Linked DNA regions of Sus scrofa. The protein of the gene in region 3 binds, or shares a complex with, the protein of the main gene of each other region. Links are inferred from orthologs where the notes say so. Each region holds a gene or a part of one and is shown on either strand. Other genes may lie near its edges.

Region 1 (4,275 bases), on a different chromosome or scaffold from region 3:
TATTAAGTCTGCCCAGTCTACTCTATGTATCAGTGAGGTTTTGGGTTTTTGTTTTTTGGCACCCCGCAGCATATGGAGTTCCTGGGCCGAGAACAGATCTGAGCCACAGTTGCAACCTAAGCCCCAGCTGAGGCAAAGCTGGGTCCTTAATCCATGGTGCCAGGCCAGGGATTGAACATTTGTCCCAGTGTTCCCAAGACGCTGCCCATCCCATTTTGCCATAGAGTGGAACTCCTGTATCAGTGATTTTTGCCTTCCGATGAATACAAAGTAAAAAATAGAAGTAAAAAATATAACTTCTACAATTTATTTGAAAATCAGTCATGGGAGTTCCTGTTGTGGTGCAGCAGAAACAAATCCAACTAAGAACCATGAGGTTGCGGGTTTGATCCCTGGCCTCGATTAGTGGGTTAAGGATCTGGCCTTGCCCTGAGCTGTGGTGTAGGTCACAGACATGGCTCAGATCCTATGTTGCTGTGGCTGTGCCATAGGTGGGCAGCTGTAGCTCTGATTCAACCCCTAGCCTGGGAACCTTCATATCCTGTAAGTGCAGCCCTAAAAAGCAAAAAAAAGCAAAAACAAAAAACAAAACAAAACAAACAAACAAACAAACAAACAAAAGGAAAAACAAAAGAACAAAACGAAACATAGCTCAAGCAACAGCAAAGCCAGATCGTTAACCCACTGAGCGAGGCCAGAGATCGAACCCACAACCTCATCGTTTCTAGTCGGATTTGTTTCTGCTGTGCCACAACATGAACTCAAAATACAAAAAACATTTTGATGCTGAAATTTAAACATATAAAGAGTGGGAACTATGATTTTTAATCTACAAATACCATGATCTCTCTCTTTTTTCTTTTTAAGGCTGCACCTGTGGTATATGGAAGTTCCCAAGCTAGGGTCTGAATCAAAGCTGCAACTGTGATCTACACTATAGACAAGGCAACAGCCACCAAAGCACATGAGCCATACCGGGTCCTGCAGAGAGCCCTTGCTTGGGTCGCAAGGCCCAAAGAATGCTAGAATTACTCCCAGAATATTTCGCTTTGTTTTCTACCACTGTCCAACCGCCACAGTGAAGTGCAGATTCAGGAACCGCTGGAGTTTGCAGTTCTCCAGTCCAAATAAATAAATTAGTACTCTATAAGGTTGGTCCGACTTCTCAGGAGAAACGCTCCCCGCGACTGGGTCCTGGTAAAATTCGAGACCAATAAAATAAACATCCCAGGACTGAGTCCTGAAGGGAAAAAATAACCTGAGGCAGGCGCAGCTTCGTCACCTATTTTCGTATCCAACGTAACAGAACCAGGCTGAAGGGGGCGCCACAATCTTCCTTCAGAACCGCTCCTCTCCCTCTCCAGGCTCTCGGGATCACAGTTGCAATTAATTATGACGTCACAGCCAATCGAGAGCCGGGACGCGTGGACTCTCTAGCCCGCCACGCGCTCGCTGCTCGGTTGCCCGCGCGGAGCCGGCGCTCTAGCCCGTGAAGTTGACTTGCTCCTCTCGCCTGCCCCAGGAAAGACCCCCAGCGTAGTTGTACCCGACGCGGGATAGGGATTCCGGAAGTTTGGGCTCCTTAGTCACAGAGGCACAAGGTATGCGTAGGAAGAAATCTCGGGTTCTGCATGCTTACGTCCAGGGACAGAATAGGCATGACCTCTCTGGGGAAGGGGCTACTCTCTTAATAAACTCCTCATCCCCTTCCCAGCCCTCGACCACCCGTCTGTCATGGACCTCGCCCGCACATCCTCTAGCTTTCAGTCGGACTTGGATTTCTGTCCGGATTGCGGCTCGGTCCTGCCTCTGCCCGGGACTCAGGATGCGGTCATTTGTACTCGCTGTGGCTTCTCCATCAACGTGCGGGGTGAGGTGCTGCTACGCCGCGGCTGGGGCGGAGGAGGGCCCATGGGGATCTCAAGATCGATTGGATTAAAGACGGGGACCCGAAAGCGCAGGATCAGGCACTTATACTTTTGGTCGGCACGAAACCTGATGGGTAGAATATAGCTTCCTGGCCTAACAGAGAGGGATTAGTGTGGTGTCAGCCCCCTCCGCTGTCTCCACAACCAATTCTTACTGCCCGCGCAGACTTTGAGGGGAAGGTTGTGAAGACCTCAGTTGTGTTCCAGAAAGTGGGGACAGCCATGCCTATGTCGATGGAGGAAGGACCTGAGTTCCAGGGACCCGTGGTAAGTGAATCACGTCGAGGACTGGCCCTGTAAAGAGGGTGGGAACGAAACGGAGGGCTCAGATCTGGAGAGTTTTGTACACAACAGGGAAGAAGAGTCTTTAAAACAGTAGTGACTGGGGAGAGTTTTCTTGTGGTGCAGCCGGGTGTTAAGGATCTGGCCGGCATTGTCACTACAGCGGTTTAGGTCGCTTCTGTGGCACGGGTTCGATCCTCGGCCTGGAAACTTACACGTACTGCAGGTGCAGCAAAACAAAAACCAGCAGTATCTGAGGAGTGTGGTAGCTTGATGTCTGTGAGAAGTAGTGGGAATTATTAACCTACCAGTTGCTTCCCAGGTTGACAGGCGCTGTCCTCGTTGTGGTCATGAGGGAATGGCATACCACACCAGACAGATGCGCTCAGCCGATGAAGGGCAGACTGTCTTCTACACCTGTACCAACTGCAAGTGCGTATCCTTTCCCTCCATTCTGCCCCTTCTGGGTCTCTTTGCTGCCAAAATCCCGTGATTTAATTTAAATCCAGTGGTTTAATTTTTGTACTTTTTGGACTGGTCGCATCCTTCATTTCTGTACAGTTCAAGTAATAGGTTTGTGATCGTTTTCTTCCTTCCTTCCATCCTTTCTTTCTTTCTTCCTTCCTTTCTTTCTTTCTTTCTCTCTCTCTCTCTCTTTCTTTCTTTCTTCCTTCCTTCCTTCTTTCCTTCCTTCCTTCCCTCCCTCCTTCCTTCCTTCCTTCCTTCTTAGGGCTGCACCCCGTGGCATATGGAGATTCCCAGGCTAGGGGTCACATCCGAGCTGTAGCCTCTGGCCTCACCACAGCAACAGCAACGCCAGATCACAGCAACACCGGATCCCAGCTGCGTCCACAACTTACACCGCAGCTCACAACAATGCCAGAGCCTTAACCCACTGAGTGAGGCCAGGGATTGAACCACATGGTTCCTAGTCGGATTTGCTTGTGCTGCTGTGCCACGATGGGAAGTTCTGTGGTCTTTTTAAATTTTAAATAATTACTCTTTTCCTATCTTTTTATACCCAGTGAATTAAACCTTTTACAATAGTTAAAAGGAAATGAGTATTGGTTTGTGATCAGTGTGTTATGTTGGACTCCTCCACTGCCCTCAAGGTAGTTTTACTTTGGTGAGAGTCAGTCATGGATGATTTAAAAAACATGGGTTCTTTATTTTTATTTCTTTATTTTTTTTTGTCTTTTTGCCTTTTCTAGGGCCGCTTCCCGAGGCATATGGAGGTTCTCAGGCTAGGGTCTAATCAGAGCTGCAGCCGCTGGCCGACGCCACAGCCACAGCAATGTGGGATCCGAGCCAAGACTGCAACCTACACCACAGCTCACAGCAATGCCAGATCCTTAACCCACCGAGCAGCCAGGGATCGAACCCACAACCTCATGGTTTCTAGTCGGATTCGTTAACCACTGCACCACGACGAGAACTCCCAGAACATGGGTTCTTTAAAACATAGTTTTAAGAATTCCTCTTTGTCTTTGGTGTCCTTCAATTTCACTACAATCTATCAAGATGTGGCTTTCTTTTATTTATCCTGTTTGGGATGTGTTGGGCCTTCCAACAGTGAGGGTTGACCTTTTTTCCCCCATCAACCTTGGAAAATTATCAGCTGTTATCACACTGAATATTTCCCTCATATGCTCAGTTCTCATATTCTTAGAGTTCTAACTGATTAGCTCTTTATTAGGCCTTATCTTCTATCCTCCATTTCTCTCACCCTGTCTCCCATATTTTCCATCTCTTTTCTCTTTATGCTGTTTCTGGATAGATTTTTTAGTTCTGTTTGATTTTTTTGTGGCCATGCCGGCAACATGTGGATATTCCTGGGCCAGGGATCAAACCCTAGCCCCTGCAGTGACAGTGCTGGACTTTAACCCACTGCACCACAAGGGAAATCCTGATTATTTTTCAAATCATCTTAGTTATTTTTAATAATTCCCAATTCCTTAATCATATTTTAAGTGGTTCTTTTTATTCATAAAACATATTACATGTAAACATTAAACATGATATTTATGTTCTATGTCTGTTAATTCTCAAACCCACTGTTTTTGTG
Region 2 (3,078 bases), on a different chromosome or scaffold from region 3:
CCAACGTGAACCAACTGAATCGAGAAAGTGCAAAAACAGTAGCACAAGGAGTTCCCGTCGTGGCGCAGTGGTTAATGAATCTGACTTGGAACCATGAGGTTGCGGGTTCGGTCCCTGCCCTTGCTCAGTGGGTTAAGGATCCGGCGGTGCCGTGAGCTGTGGTGTGAGTCACAGATGCAGCTAGGATTCCGAGTTGCTGTGGCTCTGGTGTAGGCTGGTGGCTACAGCTCCGATTCAACCCCTAGCCTGGGAACCTCCATATGCTGCAAGAGGGGCTCAAGAAAAGGCAAAAAGACAAAGCAAAACAAAACAAACAAAAAAACCCCCAGTAGCACAAAACAGTGCGAAGGTAGGTTGCCTATGGCATCTTCAGGAGAGAGGAAGATGGTTCTAGAAAGAAGAGGCCAAGAAGCTGGCTTCAAGGGGCTTTCCACATTGAGCCTGTTCGGTCACCTCTGCCACCACTCCCCCTTCATGGAGTCCAGTGATCAGACAGCACTCAAACCTTTGTTTTTTTACTTTATTGTACAAAAAAAGGGAAAACAAAACTTCCACAGTTGGCCTTAAGCTTAGGCGGACACCTCTAAGCCATTCCCTCCCACCTCCCATGTTACAAATTCAAGTTGTGGTTGTTGTTGAAACCTACAAAAACACTCCTTAAATATTAGAAAAAAGGGGGGGGAGCGGGGTCCTCCCACCCCAGCCATCCCATCCCAGTGCCAAAATGCACTCAGAGTGACCTCTCACAGCACCAACACCCTAACCCCCCACAGCCCTGTTTGTACTGTAAGAATTTTTCAACTTTCAAAACGGGGGGAAAGAAACAGTGCCCCGCTCGAAGTTGGTTTTAAGTGAAGACATGTTTCACTAAAACACAACAGCGCAGGAGCATTCAAACAGGGAAACAGGGTTCTCTGCAGGGGCTCTCCGGAAGAAATAGAACCTATGAACCCTTGTACCTAATTCCAGGATCAGGACAAAGGAAGGGGAGTGGGAGTGGGAAGTGTCCCTCCCTAGCTCCCCCCACTCCCAGCACCAAGTCCAAGGCAAAGCGGACCGCCTGCCTTTGGGAGCAGGACCCACCTTTCCCAGCCCGCCTCCTGGGCGGAGCTCCCACTCTTCCCCATCCCTTGGCTTTCATTCAGAGGGGAAGGTGGAAAAGCACAAAGCCCCGATTAGATAGGTCAACGATGTGATTGTTTAAAAAAAAAAAAGTCAAAATTTAATAAAAACAACCCCCCCAAATTTAAACCCAGAGACAAGGTGGCTTGGCTTATTAAGAGTTTAGGAATCGGGGTACCAAAATTGGGGGGATGGCTGGGAAGGGTTAGGACAGCTGCAAAAACAGCTTGTGCAGACCTCTTCCCCAGCCGTGGGTTTGGGGAGGTGGGCAGACCTGAGAAATCAAAGGAAATGGGGGTGGGGGAGCTGGAGGATGTGGCGGAAAGGCAGGAGCGACGTGTAAGTTACAAGCTTCCAACACATTTCTCGGAGCCCAGGGTGGCCGGGAGGCCTCTCAGATGAGCTGCAGAGGCCTTTCCCACCAAATCAAAGCTTTAAGGTTCTACCTGGTCTGTTCCCCTCTCCGCCATCCTGCTGGATATTGGAGACCAGCAGTAGCTCAGAGGGAAACCAGTATGAGAAGCATCAGAGGAGCTTCGGTCACCCCGCAAAACTGAATCCGAGATTCGGCAAAGCAGAAGATATGGAGAAAGGGGCCACCCAGCCTGTCCCCATCAGGATCAATGTCACCCCGGCCCGCACCAACACTTTCACCAGATTCACAGACTTGAGGTGGGCTCCTCCTCCTCTCTTACACACACAAATACACATGTGCCTTTGCACACATCCACAGGTGCACCCATGCTATGTACAGGCCACGCACACACACACGCACACACACGCATTTTTCCACACGCATCAAGACCGTTTTAAAAAAGTCCCAAACCTAACCCCTACCCCCTCCCTCTCCCAGAAATGACAACAGAGACGGCAGCCGAGATCGGTAGGAAACGTCTCGTTGACAGCTCAGAGCTTAAAAAAAAAAATATATACACATATATAAAAAACACTTCTGCCCCCTCCCCTCGTGAGTGGGTCCAGGCAGCTCCTTCCTGCAGGGGGCAGGGGAGAGGGCTGGGGGGCCGTGCCTATTTCCCCATAGGCACCCGCCCTCCTCTCCCATGTCCCCTGCCTCCAGTTCCAATGTAGGGGTCCAGGCTGCAGCCCCTCTGGAAACAAAGGGGCCTTCCCCAAGCTTCCACCCTCCCAGGGGTTGGGCTGCAGGTGTAGAGGGCCTCAGAGAACTCTTTGGGACCCACCCCCGATCCCACTCCCAGGTCCATTGTCCATGCCGGAACTGCGAGTGCAAAAGAGGGGTGGGCTGGGCCGGTCCAGTGGTGGCTCAGTCTGGTGGTTGCGCTCCCTGGAGGGCCCTCCAGGGCTGATGGCTCTAAGGCCGCAGAGTTCTAGCCTGGGCGCCTCCAGTGCCTCTCCCCACTGTATTTTGTTTTTTTTTTTAAAAAAAAAGAAAAAAGAAAAAGAAAGAAAGAAAGTGGGGGAGGCCAGGGGGCAGGGGACAGAACATGGGAGAGAAACAAAGGTGGTCAGTCGAGGAGGGGCGCCCCGCGTGGGGCTGAGCCTCAGTTGGAGTCAGAGTCCGAGGAGTCCCCCGAGGAGGACGAGCTGGAGCTGCTGCCCTCGGATTCGTTGTCCTCGTCCTCGTCGTCATCCTCGTCGTCGTCCTCGTCCTCATCCTCATCCTCGTTCTGGGAGGCAAGGGAAGTGCAGTCACCAGGGGGCCGTGCTGGCGGGACCCCGTCCCGCCCTCCCGCCCGCCCGCCTGCCCGCCCGCCCCACCTCATCCCCGTCCTCGCTCTCGTCCTCGCTGCTGGACTCGGAGGAGTCGCCGCCATCCTCGGAGGAGTCCCCGTTCTCGTCATCTTCCTCCTCCTCGTCCTCGTCCTCGTCCTCCTCATCCTCTTCATCGTCCTCCTCAGACTCCTGCGAGGGATGGAAGCCCATCAGGGGTCCCTGCCGCGCCCTGGACCCTGCACGGGGCCCTCCTCCTGGGAGGGG
Region 3 (4,294 bases):
GCTACCGAGGTCGGCGCTCAGTAGGACCTGGGGCTGCAGGCTGCTGAACCGTCTAAAGCCGACTTTCGGGCCCAATCTCTCTCGAGAGAGCGGTGCCCTCACTTGCTTTGCTGAAGGAGCCAACGGCTCAGACCGGCCTGGCAAGGCCCCTCTGCTCCGTGGGGGGTGAGAAACAGAACTGGGGAGACTCGGAGGGGGACGCTAGGCCCAGAAGAGGGGTGCTTGGAACTGGAAACTTCGGTTTCTCTCATCCCCCTTCCTTTCTTTGCGACTGTCCCGGGGAGGTGCACCTGGAGCTAGCTGGCCTGAGGCTTGTGCGTGGGTGGAGCCGGAGGGAAGGGAGGTCTAGGTGCTGGGGAGGCCGCTCCTGGGAGGCGGGCGTGGGGGGACAGAGGTCGCTTCTCCTTGGCAGGGCTGAAGAAGAAACCCGAGTAGCTGCTGACGTCTAGCTGCCAAGGGGGAACAGCCTGCTGGGGCTCTGCGTTCTCTATCAGGCTCCGGAGAAGAAAAGTGCAAAGGGTGGGGTGAACAAGTGTGGGGTGAACACAGTCAGAGATAGAGTCAGGGGACAGGCCAGTGCCCAGGAAAACAGGCATTGTGCAGGAGGAGGCAGTACCAGGGTGAAGGGGCAGGTGGGAGGCAGAGGGGGTTCCCAGGAGGGAGTGCCCAGGAAGGGGACAGTGTGAGAACCAGCACCCTAGAGGAACGGGCAGTGTAAAGGAAGAGGTGGTATCCATAGGAGAGGACAATGCCGGGATGAAGGAGCACTTAGGAGAACGTGTCCAGAAGGTGAGCGCAGTGGTGGAGGAAAGGCCAGAACCGAGCCGAAGGGGCAGTACTGAGGAGAGCAGTGTGATGGGGTTAATACCATGCTGAAGGGGCGGTGCGAGGTAAGAAATCAGGGGTGGGGAGGGTGCAGTACCAGAGGAGGAGACAGTGCAGACTTCCCTCTTCCCCATGGTGACATCATGGCAAATTCCCAAAGTGGATATCACCGGGTCGGGTGACATCCAGCTGGGCCCAGCCGGCCTGGGCCAGCCCGGGATTCCTCAGTGCCAGCTAGAAGGACTGGGTACGGCACCCTACTTGGCCATCGCCCTGGGGGCGTGGTTCTGCTCCGCTAGCCCTTTGCGCGGACTGTGCCCTCGGCAGACCCGCGGACCGACAGGGTAGGGCTAGGGCCAGGATTCTCTGGGCCAAGGATCAAGGTCCCTGGCTGGGGTAGGCCCCCAAGCACTCCAGTCTTCCTAACCCGGCATCTGAAGAGGGCGCACTAGAGCCTCCGGAGAGAGCGGGACACCAAGCCACCCCCGGCTGGAGGTGGGACCTATCGTGTTCCCGCCCTGGGAGGAGTTATCTGGACGTGAGACCGCCCTAAACACTGAAGCCTCTCGGAAGCAATCGTTCGGGGCGGAAGTTAAGAAGCCCCGAGAGCTAGGCGGCGGAAGTAGCTGCGTTACTGCTGGTCTGTGCGCATGCGTCCTTCTATTTCTTTGCTGCCGCTCTTCAGGCGCTGCATTTTCCTCTCTCATTTTTCTCCACGCGGGGCCGTGCCCTGCTCCGTAGTCTTCGTCACGCGCTCAGCACCTCTGCTTCTCTCGTGGCCCCCTCACCATGGCGGGCATTCTGTTCGAGGATATTTTTGATGTGAAAGACATTGACCCAGAGGGCAAGAAGTTTGACCGAGGTGAGTAAGGTTTGTAGGGGCGGTTTGGGAGAAGCGGCTGATCTCAGGGACACGCCCCTGGGCCTCTTGTCCACACATTTCATGTGGTCTTCCCCTACCGGCAGGTCCTGACCTAGGGGCCTCTCTCAGGAAACGTTTTATAGATGAGAAAACGGAGACTTCGAGCTCTCCCTCGCTTCACACATGCTGTGCCCGGTGCCTGGGTGACCTTTCTTCATGGTGCTGGTAACCTCCTTGGCATCTTTTTAATCGCTGCCCACTCTGCTAGGCGCTGTGCTGTGCACTTTACACACATTGCCTTACTTATTCCTTTCGAGAGTCTCCACGAGGTAGGTGGTGTCTTACCCATCTTCTGAGAGGCTGAGCAACCCACCCAAGGCTGTACAGCAAATAATCCGACCTCAGGGCCTGTTGCCCTCAGAGTCTTAGCTCTTTGTGAAATCCTCTCTAAGAGTTGACTGCTTGGTATACACCTCCTTGTTCTGACGTTGATCAAGAATTATTTGTCCTTGGTGTCTCTTCCTTTGCTTAGAGACTGAGATATTCTTCAGAACAAACAGCAGGTGTTTGTTTGTTTGTTTGATTTTGTCTTTTTAGGGCCAGACGTAAGGACATATGGAGGTTCTCAGGCTAAGGGTCGAGTCAGAGCTACAGCTGCAGGCCCCACACCACAGCCACAGCAACGCCAGATCCAAGCCCCGTCTGAGACTTATACCACAGCTCACAGCAACACCAGATCCTTAATCCCCTGAGCTGATCCTTAACCCACAGAGTGAGGCCAGGGATTGAACCCCCATCCTCATGGATACTAATCAGGTTTGTTACCACTGAGCCACGGACAAGACCTCCCCAAACAGCAGTTCTTAATAATCTCCTTAGCACAGCGCCTGGCACGGAAAGGCAAAACCTTTGGATGACTGACTTGCCCCAGAGCAGGTTGTTTCTTAGTCACCCATGCAGGCCTAGAACGTGATATTATTTGTTGCCAGAGGACCTTTGATTCTTTTCTGGGCATTCTGTCCACCAGCCATAGTTTTCTGCCTCTTTGCTTGTATATGTGGTTCTTATTGAGCCTGTACTTCTATGAGAGCAGATGAGAGGCCATTGGATACAGATTAAGTATTCTGTGCATACAGTTTCTCAAAGTGGGGTCTGCCCTGCCCTTGAGGGTCTACTTGGCCAGGCAGTTACCTCTGCTGCTCTTTTTCTGTTTCCCTCCAGTGTCTCGACTGCATTGTGAGAGTGAATCTTTCAAGATGGACCTCATCTTAGATGTAAACATTCAGATTTATCCTGTTGACCTGGGTAAGTGTTGAACACAAACAATAACAGCAAGTGTTTTTGCATTTCAGACTCTGATATTGCTGTTATTTTCAGGTGACAAGTTCCGGTTGGTGATAGCCAGTACTTTGTATGAAGATGGTACTCTGGATGATGGTGAATACAACCCCACAGATGATAGGCCTTCCAGGTGAGGAAGTACTTGAAATATGCCTGAGGACTAAATAGATAAGTAGTACAGAAAGACCCTTAGTTACTTCATAGAATAAATGTTTATGAACAGAATCTATGTAAACTTAAGGAAATTGCCGCACTTAATTCAAACAGGAGTTCCTGTTGTGCCTCAGTGGTAATGAACCTAACTAGCATCCATGAGGATGCAGCTTCCATCCCTGGCCCTGCTCAGTGGGTTAAGGATCCGGCGTTGCTGTGAGCTGTGGTGTAGGTTGCAGACATAGCTTAGATCTGGTGTTGCTGTGGCTGTGGTGTAGACGTGTAGCTGCAACTCCGATTCTACCCCTAGCCTTGGAACTTCTATATGCCTTGAGTGCGGCCCTTAAAAAAAAAAAAAGACAACAACGAAGGATACAAACAATGAGTTCTCTGGGAGCTCAGCAGGTTAAGGATCTGCTGTGGCTCGGGTTGCTGCTGTGGCCTGGGTTTGATCCCTGGCCTGGGAACTTCCTTGTGCTGTGGGTGTGGCCCCCCCAAAAAAATAAATAAAAGGGAGAGTTCAGACATCCAGGTGTTTATCCAGAGCAGTGATTACAGCATGAGTTGCAGCTTTTTGGGGGAAGGGGGGCATGCCCACAGCATGCAGAAGGTCCTGGGGCCAGGGATCGAACCTCTGCCACAGCAGTGACATTTCCAGATCCTTAATCATTAGGCCACCAGGAAACCTCGAGTTGTAGCTTTTTGATGGCTGAGGAAATGACCACTGAATGACGTAGGCTGTGTAAGTCTTGTGTCTCAGGAGGGAATTTTGTGTGAGGAAAGGCTTTAGAGCCCCACTCAGTTCACATCTCATCTCTATCACTTATTTGTTGAATAACATTTGACTTCCTTCAACCTTAGTTTCTTCATCAGTGAAATACCTACAGTTATACCTCGCTCACAGGGTTGCTGTCGGGACTAAATGATGTGATGTTTGGAAAGTGCCTGTTGTTATGATGTTGGCACTTAGTTATCAGTTACCATTTTTAAAGGGTCTCTTATTATTGTTGACTGTGTATAACAATAACTGCCACTATTGTTCCACAGGGCTGACCAATTTGAGTATGTAATGTATGGGAAAGTGTACAGGATTGAGGGAGATGAAACTTCTAC
Region 4 (4,011 bases), on a different chromosome or scaffold from region 3:
GATACATCAGATCCCTCCCAATGCACAGAACTTCAGCTCCCAACATCTCTCCCCCTCCCCCGAGGGACCCCAGTATTCTGTCCTGGCAACTGTCCCCTGCTTCTGCCTTCGGAGACCCCTGTTCCTTTTGAAAGGCCAAGGCAACATACCACCCTGCCTCTTCCCTAAAAGCCATGTATCTGGGCGCTCATACCTTCCTCTGGAAAACAAGGCCCAACTCACGGAGATGTTGCAGGAAGTTCAACAGAGAATCACTCATACCTTCCACAGAGTAATCCTGGGGAAGAGAGGTAGCCGGCTGGGGTCCAAAACCCAGCCCATTCTCCCTTCCCCAACCCCATATGCTCCTTCCCACTTTTCCCATCCCTGGTGTTCTTCGTTTTTTTGTTTTTTGCTTTTGTCTTTTTGTCTTTCTAGGGTCGCACGGGTGGCATATGTAGGTTCCCAGGCTAGGGGTCCAATCAGAGCTGCAGCTGCTGGCCTACACCATAGCCACAGCAACGCGGCATCCGAGCCGCGTCTGCAACCTACACCACAGCTCACAGCAACACGGGATCCTTAACCCACTGAGCGAGGTCAGGGATTGAACCTGCGTCCTCATGGATGCTAATTGGGTTGTTAACCGCTGAGCCACGACGGGAACTCCTCTTTGTTCATTCTTCTCTTTCACTCTATTGACCCCTAACCTCATTTCCTTTTCCATCTCTCTACCCTTCATCTTGCCCACCCAAGCCTCTACTAGCTCCAGCCCCCTGCTTACCTTGCCCAGAGTAGAGAAGCTGAGCTGGAAGAGGAAGGAGAGAATCTCCACTAGGTCCATGCCCCGACTCTAAGGAGGAACGGGCAGATGTGGGGAGGAAATGAGAGAAAACCGGGGAACAGAGTCTACAGGCAGCAGGCCCTCAGTGGGTCCTGGGAAAAGCAGAGCATGCCAGCAGGCAGCCCCCGACCTCCTCACCTGGGCTGTCTGCAGGTACTGCAACATAAAGTACCAGAGCTGGGCCGGGGTGTCCAACAACAGGAATTGGAAGCCCGCAGAGGTAATGCAAGGCGGCTCTCCAGGTTCAGCACTACAGAAAGGGACCATGGCAGAGGTTTGCTGAGAAAGGCCACCATTCCACTTGTCCGCTCACATTTTTCTTGGTTTATCTCTGGCCATGCTCTACGCAGCTCTCCTTTTGCAGCCAACCCCCTCCAATCCTGATCCGACCCAAACACTCAGGTTAGCAGGGACTCGAGGAGACGGCAAAACAGAGCTGTTGTACCTCTGTCTTCCTCACCTCTTCATGAGCCCAGCCTGGCTGAGGAGCTGAGCCAAGTCCTGGCTGACGGCTGCACTGGGGGAGCCCACCATGAAGTGCAGGACCACCTGAGGAACAGAAGAGACCAGAGAGACAGATGCCTCTAAGGGCCCTGGGATGGGAGCACAAGCAGACACACACAGAGTCCCAAGTCCTTACCTCCCATCGCTCCTCAGCATACTTGTCAAGCGAGGGCACATCCCGGGCATGCTTGTCTGGTCCCAGCTGACTTGTGTCATCAGACCAGGCCTTGCCCCTATGCCAGTACGGCCGAGAGTAAGGAACCCTGCCTGTGTTCCCTGCCCACCACCCCCCTTCCCTCTTTCTACCCTCATCTCCAGGGGCCACGAGTGGGAGACATATCCTATACCACGTAGCAAAGTCTGGTCCAACTTATTCCTAAAGGAGCTCCCAAAGGTGGAGCCCACAAGGTTCCAGAGAGGTCCCCCAGGGCCTCTTAATAAGTAGTTTAATGAGCAGTTTAATCACTAGTTCCCCTGCCTGGCCTAGGAAAAGATGGAAGTGACATACCCACCCAGAAGGGCAATGCGGAGGTTTTGGCGGAAGATGGGGTTGAGGATGAGGCCCTGGAGGCCACCAGGGAGCAGCTGGGTGTGCCAGATACGGAGGCCGCTCAGCAGCCCCGTGCTTTCCTCCTGGGCTCTGGAACAGAAGAGGAGAGGTGAGGGGAGTGTCCAGAGAACAAAAGGAAGGAAGCCCATAAAGACCACCATTTCTGCCTTTTCTGAACTGGTGGTCCTTGGAACACTGTTTCACAGAGTGAAATTGGTATCTTCTTAAGGCAAATTTCTTTACTGCAGCACCTACCAGAACCTTGTTATAGACATCACAACTCTCCAAGAGGCAAAATGGAGTATGCGTAGTTTCCCAAACTTGTTTAATTACAAGTTTAGTGGTGTTCCCTTGAATATACTCCAGCAGTTTGGGAAACCTGGCTGTTGAGAAATTTGTATCTGGCTGAAAGTGCAGCAGAGACTCACTTGCTGAATTCCTTCTTCACCCACAAGGCTACGGCAGCTTGTGGCAGAGGCTGCTCCAGAAAGAGCATCCGCATCACCCAGTTCTTAGCTAAAGATGGGAGCTCCCTATAAGGGGGCAGAGGGAAAACGTTAATATCAGAAACTGCCTCAGATCTGCATCCCTGCCCTCAAATGCCTCTCAAACATCTCATCTCACCCCTGGCCCTTTTACCAGTCTTCCTGCCCCCACATCTCCATCTGTTTGGGCCTGACACATTTTAGTCTCCAAGCCCCCCAGAGCTAAGCTTCTACCCATGATAACTTATTGCAGTCTGCAGGCCTCATTACATTTCCCTACTATGGTCCCTGCCATGAACGGGGTCCTCACCTGAAGACAGCCAAACAGGTGGCAGGGTGCCCATACAATCGGTCCAATACAACAGGGCTCAGGCCCCCTAAGAATTCCTGCAGATTCCTGCATTGTAGGTGTACTCGATTCAGTCCACCCCTTGAAGGGGTGCTCTCCATCACCTGAGAGATGCAAGTGTTAGTGGACCTCCGAAATCCATGCCAGTGTCACCCCCTCACCGTTCTCATTCCAATTCCAGATCCACTGGCCCCTGCAAAAATTCATCTTTTCTACAGTTTCCTTTTTCACGTCACTCATCTCCTCTTGTTTCTCCCAAACCTGACCACCCTCCTCTTCTTTCCTCCCTCCTCACTGCACTCCTGATCTCAACTCAAGTCTTCTCCAATTTCTAAGTGAAAGAATTGTCAGCTGTTCCATATTTGCAAAAATATTTTGTATTTCAGTGACTTATCTACACCCTAGGCAAAGAAAGTTTTCTGAGCCCAGTTCTCTCTCCCCTCGACCTCTCCTGGTCTGATCAGCCTATAAACTTCAATCTGCCCATTCTCTCCATCTATTTCTTGACCCCACTCCTCGTGCTGGGAACGGCAATAATTACCTTTCCCCTCCAAGTCTCATAAATCTAATTCCACCTCTTTCCTCTTCCCGTCCCTAAGACTACTTCACTCCATTCACCCTGACTCACACCGTATGATCTCCTCCTAACTCGTCCCCTACTTTCTTCCCAATGCTCGTCTCTCATCAACTCTCTCCTTCTTATACCTCCCGCCACCCCTTCTCTCCCAGCCCCCTTACCACTCAGTGTCGACCCCCTCCTCGTGCACTCCGAGTCTTAAGCCGTCGCTTAATCGGAGCCAGTGTCTCGCATTAGCTCTCAGGAATAGGGGAAAGAATGGCGGAAAGTGAGCGAAAAATATGGGGAGGGGGACGAAGGATTTCACCCACGCAAGTCCAGAGTGGAGGATTCAGAAGAGGAGTGGAGAGGTAGGGAGGAGAAGAACCGGCGCTGCACTCGCTCGCCACAGGGCATGCTGGGAATTGGAGTCTTGTCCTTCCCAGCCCGGGAGCCAGCTGAAGCGCGTCCGACTACAACTCCCAAAAGGCACTGCGGGGAGCCAAGCGGAGAGAGGCTGGCTTTTACGTAAGAGAGCCGGAGGCTCCGGAGGTCTGGCTGTTCGTTCCGCATCGCTCTCCACCCACTCGGCTAACGGCGAGTCTAACCAACCCGAGATCATGTGGGGACCCTGAGAATAGAAGTTCCCCGAGGTCTTCCTATCCGAGGTGCGGAAACCACTGGGTGGTGAGGAGCTCAGGTTCAGAGATGCAGAAACCTGGGTTCCTTGAGCTCAGTTGCTCCTCG
Region 5 (3,512 bases), on a different chromosome or scaffold from region 3:
CATTAACCCACTGAGCAAGGGCAGGGACCGAACCCGCAACCTCATGGTTCCTAGTCGGATTCGTTAACCACTGCGCCACAACGGGAACTCCCTATTATTAGCATTTTTATGTTTTACTTTCCTGTTTGCATGGCTATATGAGTGTTTTTCTCAGTGATCCGGCAGAATCACACTGTAAGTGGTTTATTATCTGCCCTTTTCACCTATTGTGAACATTTTTCTCATCCCATTCATTGTTATTCTAAAATAGTTATTGCTAATCATATAGATTTAACTGGTCTCTCCTTTTTTTTCCTCCCCCTGCTATTTATGTATTTATTTATTTTTGCTTTTTAGGGCTGCACCAGTGGCATATGGAGGTTCCCAGGCCAGGGGTTGAACTGGAGCTACAGCTGCTGGCCTACACCACAGCCACAGCAATGTGGGATCTGAGCCGCCTCTGCAACCTACACCACGGCTTATGGCAACACCGGATCCCTAACCCACTGAACGAGGCCAGGGATGGAACCTGCATCCTCATGGATCCTAGTCAGGTTCATTAACCACTAATCCACAAAGGGAATGCCCAATGATGTTTTAAAACCACCCCCATGCTTTTTTTTTTGGCCATTATAAATAACAGTGTAACGAACGTTCTTATGCATATATCTTCGATTATTTCTGTGTGGTGAATTCCCAGCAGTTGAGTCGCTGGATCAAAGGGCTTCTTCTAAGTTGCGCTTTGACAGTTTATGGCATCACAGGAGTGTGTGTGTGAGATGAGTGCCTCTTTCTTGCCACTGCTGGGTTGTTATACGTGAAAAGGAAAACCTGTGCAAGATGAAGATGGCTTTTTTTTCCCCTATAGGTCAATGGATGATGTGTTGTTGTTTTTTTTAAATAAAATTTTATTGGAGTATAGTTGACTTAGAAAGTTGTGTTAGTTTCAGGTATACAGCAGTGTAAATCAGTTATACAGGTATCCGTTGAGGATGTGTTTCTTTTTCTATTTTTTTGGTCTTTTTTTTTGTTTGTTTTTTTTTTAAGGGCCACACTTGCAGCATGTGGAGGTTCCCAGTCTAGGGGTCAGATCGCAGCTGTAGCTGTCAGCCTATCCCACGGCTACAGCAATGCTAGATCAGAGCCCATTTGTTTGCAACTTATATCACAGGTCTCAGTGAGGCCGGATCCTTAACCCACTGAGCAAGGTCAGGGACTGAACCTGTGTCCTCATGGATACTAGTCTAGTTCATTAACCACTGAGCCATGACAGACCTCCATGACGTGTTTCTTAGTAGTTTTATTTTCTTTTTAAAAATTGATAAGTGAAACTGGTAGCTTGAAAATTATATCTTTATAGAACTGAAATGCCAAATTTTCTTTGTAGGTAAGATTGATAACAACAAGACAAAGGATTTATATCGAGATCTCATAACCATCTTTGACAAACTCCTGTTGCCCACACATGCCTCCTGCCACGTGCAGTTTTTTATGTTTTACCTCTGTAGCTTTAAATTGGTGAGTATGTCGTTAACATAATTGTAGCTTATTTTAGTCTCACCCACAATTTTCCATTTAAAAATGAGGGATGAGGGGATGGTATGGAAAGGGAGACCGAGGTGAGTATTTCGTTGTCTTCAGCTCATTTTACTTAGTGCCTCTAATAATAGCCAGCCCTTTTGGGGAGTTCCCATTGCGGCTCAGTAGAACCCGGCTAGTATCCATGAGGATGTGGGTTTGATCCCTGGCCGCACTCAGTGGGTTAAGGATCTGCATTGCTGTGAGCTGTGGTGTAGGCCAGCAGCCATTGTAAGCCCCAATTCAACTCCTAGCCCCAGAACTTCCATATGCCATACTTCTGGCCATTAAAAAAAAAAAATAAATAAATAAATAAAAAATAGGAAGCCCTTTTCAATATAAGGAAGAAGCAGAGGGCTTCATCTGAGTGCAGTTCATCTGAGTGCTCGGAAAGTGTCATCCCGTGTTTGGTCCGCTAGGCGGTGCTCTTCCTTTCAATTCAAGCCTTAATTAAAATCTCATATTGGATATTTAACTGTTTTATTTTCTTTCAGTTGCTCTTAAGTAGCCCAAACTAAATTTTTTTTAATCTAGAATTTTAAAACTTTAGGCATTGGTTTTCTATTTTGAGAACAAAGCAAAACCAAAAAAATAGAGGCCTCTTTTTGCAACTCTTTCGTAGCTTCCTCGAATAGTCTGGAAGGGTGTTGGTCCTGGGCAGGAAGGTTCACCTCACTCTGCCTCAAAGCGTGTGTTAGCAGCTTCTGAAAAGAGCTATTTGGGAAAAGATGGAGGTTGCATCCTTTGTTTTAAAAAAAAACTTAATTGGTCTGTTTTTTCCCCTATGATTTGCATAATGAGTCAAAAACCAACTGTAATTTAATCCCTATTTCTGTTTCTGGTTAAGTTGAACGTGTGCAGTCTGAGAGGCACTGCAGAAGGGTTCCCATGGGTGCAGATTATCGCTGGTTTCGAGTGCCGGCTAAATCTCAGAATCACTTGTAGAGCTTTAGAAATAGCCCGGTCACAAATCCAAGGGTTCCAAAGCCCTGAATCTATAGGGTTAGTTTTCATGTTCAGCTAGTTTTTAGATCCATTGAATTATTTAATGCTGGGGAACACCTTTTGTTGTTAATGTATATTATCTCAAGACATTTTAAAAATAACCACAATAACCGTATTCATGGAGTTCCCATCGTGGCTCAGTGGTTAACGAATCCAACTAGGAACCATGAGGTTGCGGGTTTGATCCCTGGCCTTGCTCAGTGGGTTAAGGATCCAGAGTTGCTGTGAGCTGTGGTGTAGGCCTGTGGCTACAGCTCCGATTGGACCCCTGGCCTGGGAACCTCCATATGCCGAGGGTGCAGCCCTAGAAAAGGCAAAAAGACTGAAAAAAAAAAGTATTCATTATCTGTTTAGTAGTATAACTGAGATACCAGAACTTTCTCGTATAAGTGAGTTAAAAATCTTAGGATTCTGATAGCCAGAATATCTTAAGAATTTAAAAAAAGATGAGGAGTCCCCATCATGGCACAGCAGAAATGAATCTGACTAGGAACCGTGAGGTTGCGGGTTCGATCCCTGGCCTCGATCAGTTGGTTGGGGATCCCGAGTTGCCGTGAGCTGTGGTGTAGGTCACAGACTCGGCTTGGATCTGGCATTGCTGTGGCTGTGGCGTAAGCCTTCGGCTACAGCTCTGATTAGACCCCTAGCCTGGGAACCTCCTTATGCCGAGGGTGCAGCCCTAAAAAGACCAAAAAATAAACAAATAAAAAAATTAAAAAAGAAGATGAGACCTGGGAGTTCCCATTGTGGCTCAGCAGTTAACAAACCTGACTAGCATCCATGAGAACTCCAGTTTGACCCCTGACCTCTGCTCAGCGGGTTAAGGATATGGCGTTGCCATGAGCTGTGGTGTAGGTCACAGATGTGGCTTGGATCTGGTGTTGTGTGGCTGTGGCATGGGCTGGCAGCTGTAGCTCTGATTAGACCCCTAGCCTGGGAACCTCCATATG

The links.
Region 1: POLR2H (region 3) and ZNRD1 share a complex: the UniProt entries of both Homo sapiens proteins name them as parts of the pol I pre-initiation complex. The link is inferred for Sus scrofa from reciprocal best matches to the Homo sapiens genes POLR2H and POLR1H.
Region 2: POLR2H (region 3) and UBTF share a complex: the UniProt entries of both Homo sapiens proteins name them as parts of the pol I pre-initiation complex. The link is inferred for Sus scrofa from reciprocal best matches to the Homo sapiens genes POLR2H and UBTF.
Region 4: POLR2H (region 3) and GTF2H4 share a complex: the UniProt entries of both Homo sapiens proteins name them as parts of the TBP-based Pol II pre-initiation complex. The link is inferred for Sus scrofa from reciprocal best matches to the Homo sapiens genes POLR2H and GTF2H4.
Region 5: POLR2H (region 3) and RRN3 share a complex: the UniProt entries of both Homo sapiens proteins name them as parts of the pol I pre-initiation complex. The link is inferred for Sus scrofa from reciprocal best matches to the Homo sapiens genes POLR2H and RRN3.

Annotation. Positions count from the first base shown.
Region 1 is NC_010449.5:22,625,403-22,629,677, forward strand, and holds the start of ZNRD1 (DNA-directed RNA polymerase I subunit RPA12), read left to right. Parts: upstream 1-1,468; 5' UTR 1,469-1,601; intron 1,602-1,714; 5' UTR 1,715-1,734; coding exon 1,735-1,870; intron 1,871-2,094; coding exon 2,095-2,195; intron 2,196-2,532; coding exon 2,533-2,642; intron 2,643-4,275. UniProt on the Homo sapiens protein: Core component of RNA polymerase I (Pol I), a DNA-dependent RNA polymerase which synthesizes ribosomal RNA precursors using the four ribonucleoside triphosphates as substrates. Can mediate Pol I proofreading of the nascent RNA transcript.
Region 2 is NC_010454.4:19,003,574-19,006,651, reverse strand, and holds the end of UBTF (nucleolar transcription factor 1), read right to left. Parts: intron 3,004-3,078; coding exon 2,860-3,003; intron 2,769-2,859; coding exon 2,643-2,768; 3' UTR 507-2,642; downstream 1-506. UniProt on the Homo sapiens protein: Recognizes the ribosomal RNA gene promoter and activates transcription mediated by RNA polymerase I (Pol I) through cooperative interactions with the transcription factor SL1/TIF-IB complex.
Region 3 is NC_010455.5:122,250,141-122,254,434, forward strand, and holds the start of POLR2H (DNA-directed RNA polymerases I, II, and III subunit RPABC3), read left to right. Parts: upstream 1-1,488; 5' UTR 1,489-1,614; coding exon 1,615-1,687; intron 1,688-1,791; exon of another isoform or gene 1,792-1,830; coding exon of another isoform or gene 1,831-1,912; intron 1,913-2,908; coding exon 2,909-2,992; intron 2,993-3,064; coding exon 3,065-3,158; intron 3,159-4,228; coding exon 4,229-4,294. UniProt on the Homo sapiens protein: DNA-dependent RNA polymerase catalyzes the transcription of DNA into RNA using the four ribonucleoside triphosphates as substrates.
Region 4 is NC_010449.5:23,398,103-23,402,113, reverse strand, and holds the start of GTF2H4 (general transcription factor IIH subunit 4), read right to left. Parts: upstream 2,810-4,011; coding exon 2,670-2,809; intron 2,408-2,669; coding exon 2,303-2,407; intron 1,965-2,302; coding exon 1,833-1,964; intron 1,558-1,832; coding exon 1,461-1,557; intron 1,370-1,460; coding exon 1,281-1,369; intron 1,071-1,280; coding exon 959-1,070; intron 830-958; coding exon 761-829; intron 278-760; coding exon 194-277; intron 1-193. UniProt on the Homo sapiens protein: Component of the general transcription and DNA repair factor IIH (TFIIH) core complex, which is involved in general and transcription-coupled nucleotide excision repair (NER) of damaged DNA and, when complexed to CAK, in RNA transcription by RNA polymerase II.
Region 5 is NC_010445.4:7,547,979-7,551,490, reverse strand, and holds part of RRN3 (RNA polymerase I-specific transcription initiation factor RRN3), read left to right. Parts: intron 1-1,366; coding exon 1,367-1,497; intron 1,498-3,512. UniProt on the Homo sapiens protein: Required for efficient transcription initiation by RNA polymerase I (Pol I). Required for the formation of the competent pre-initiation complex (PIC).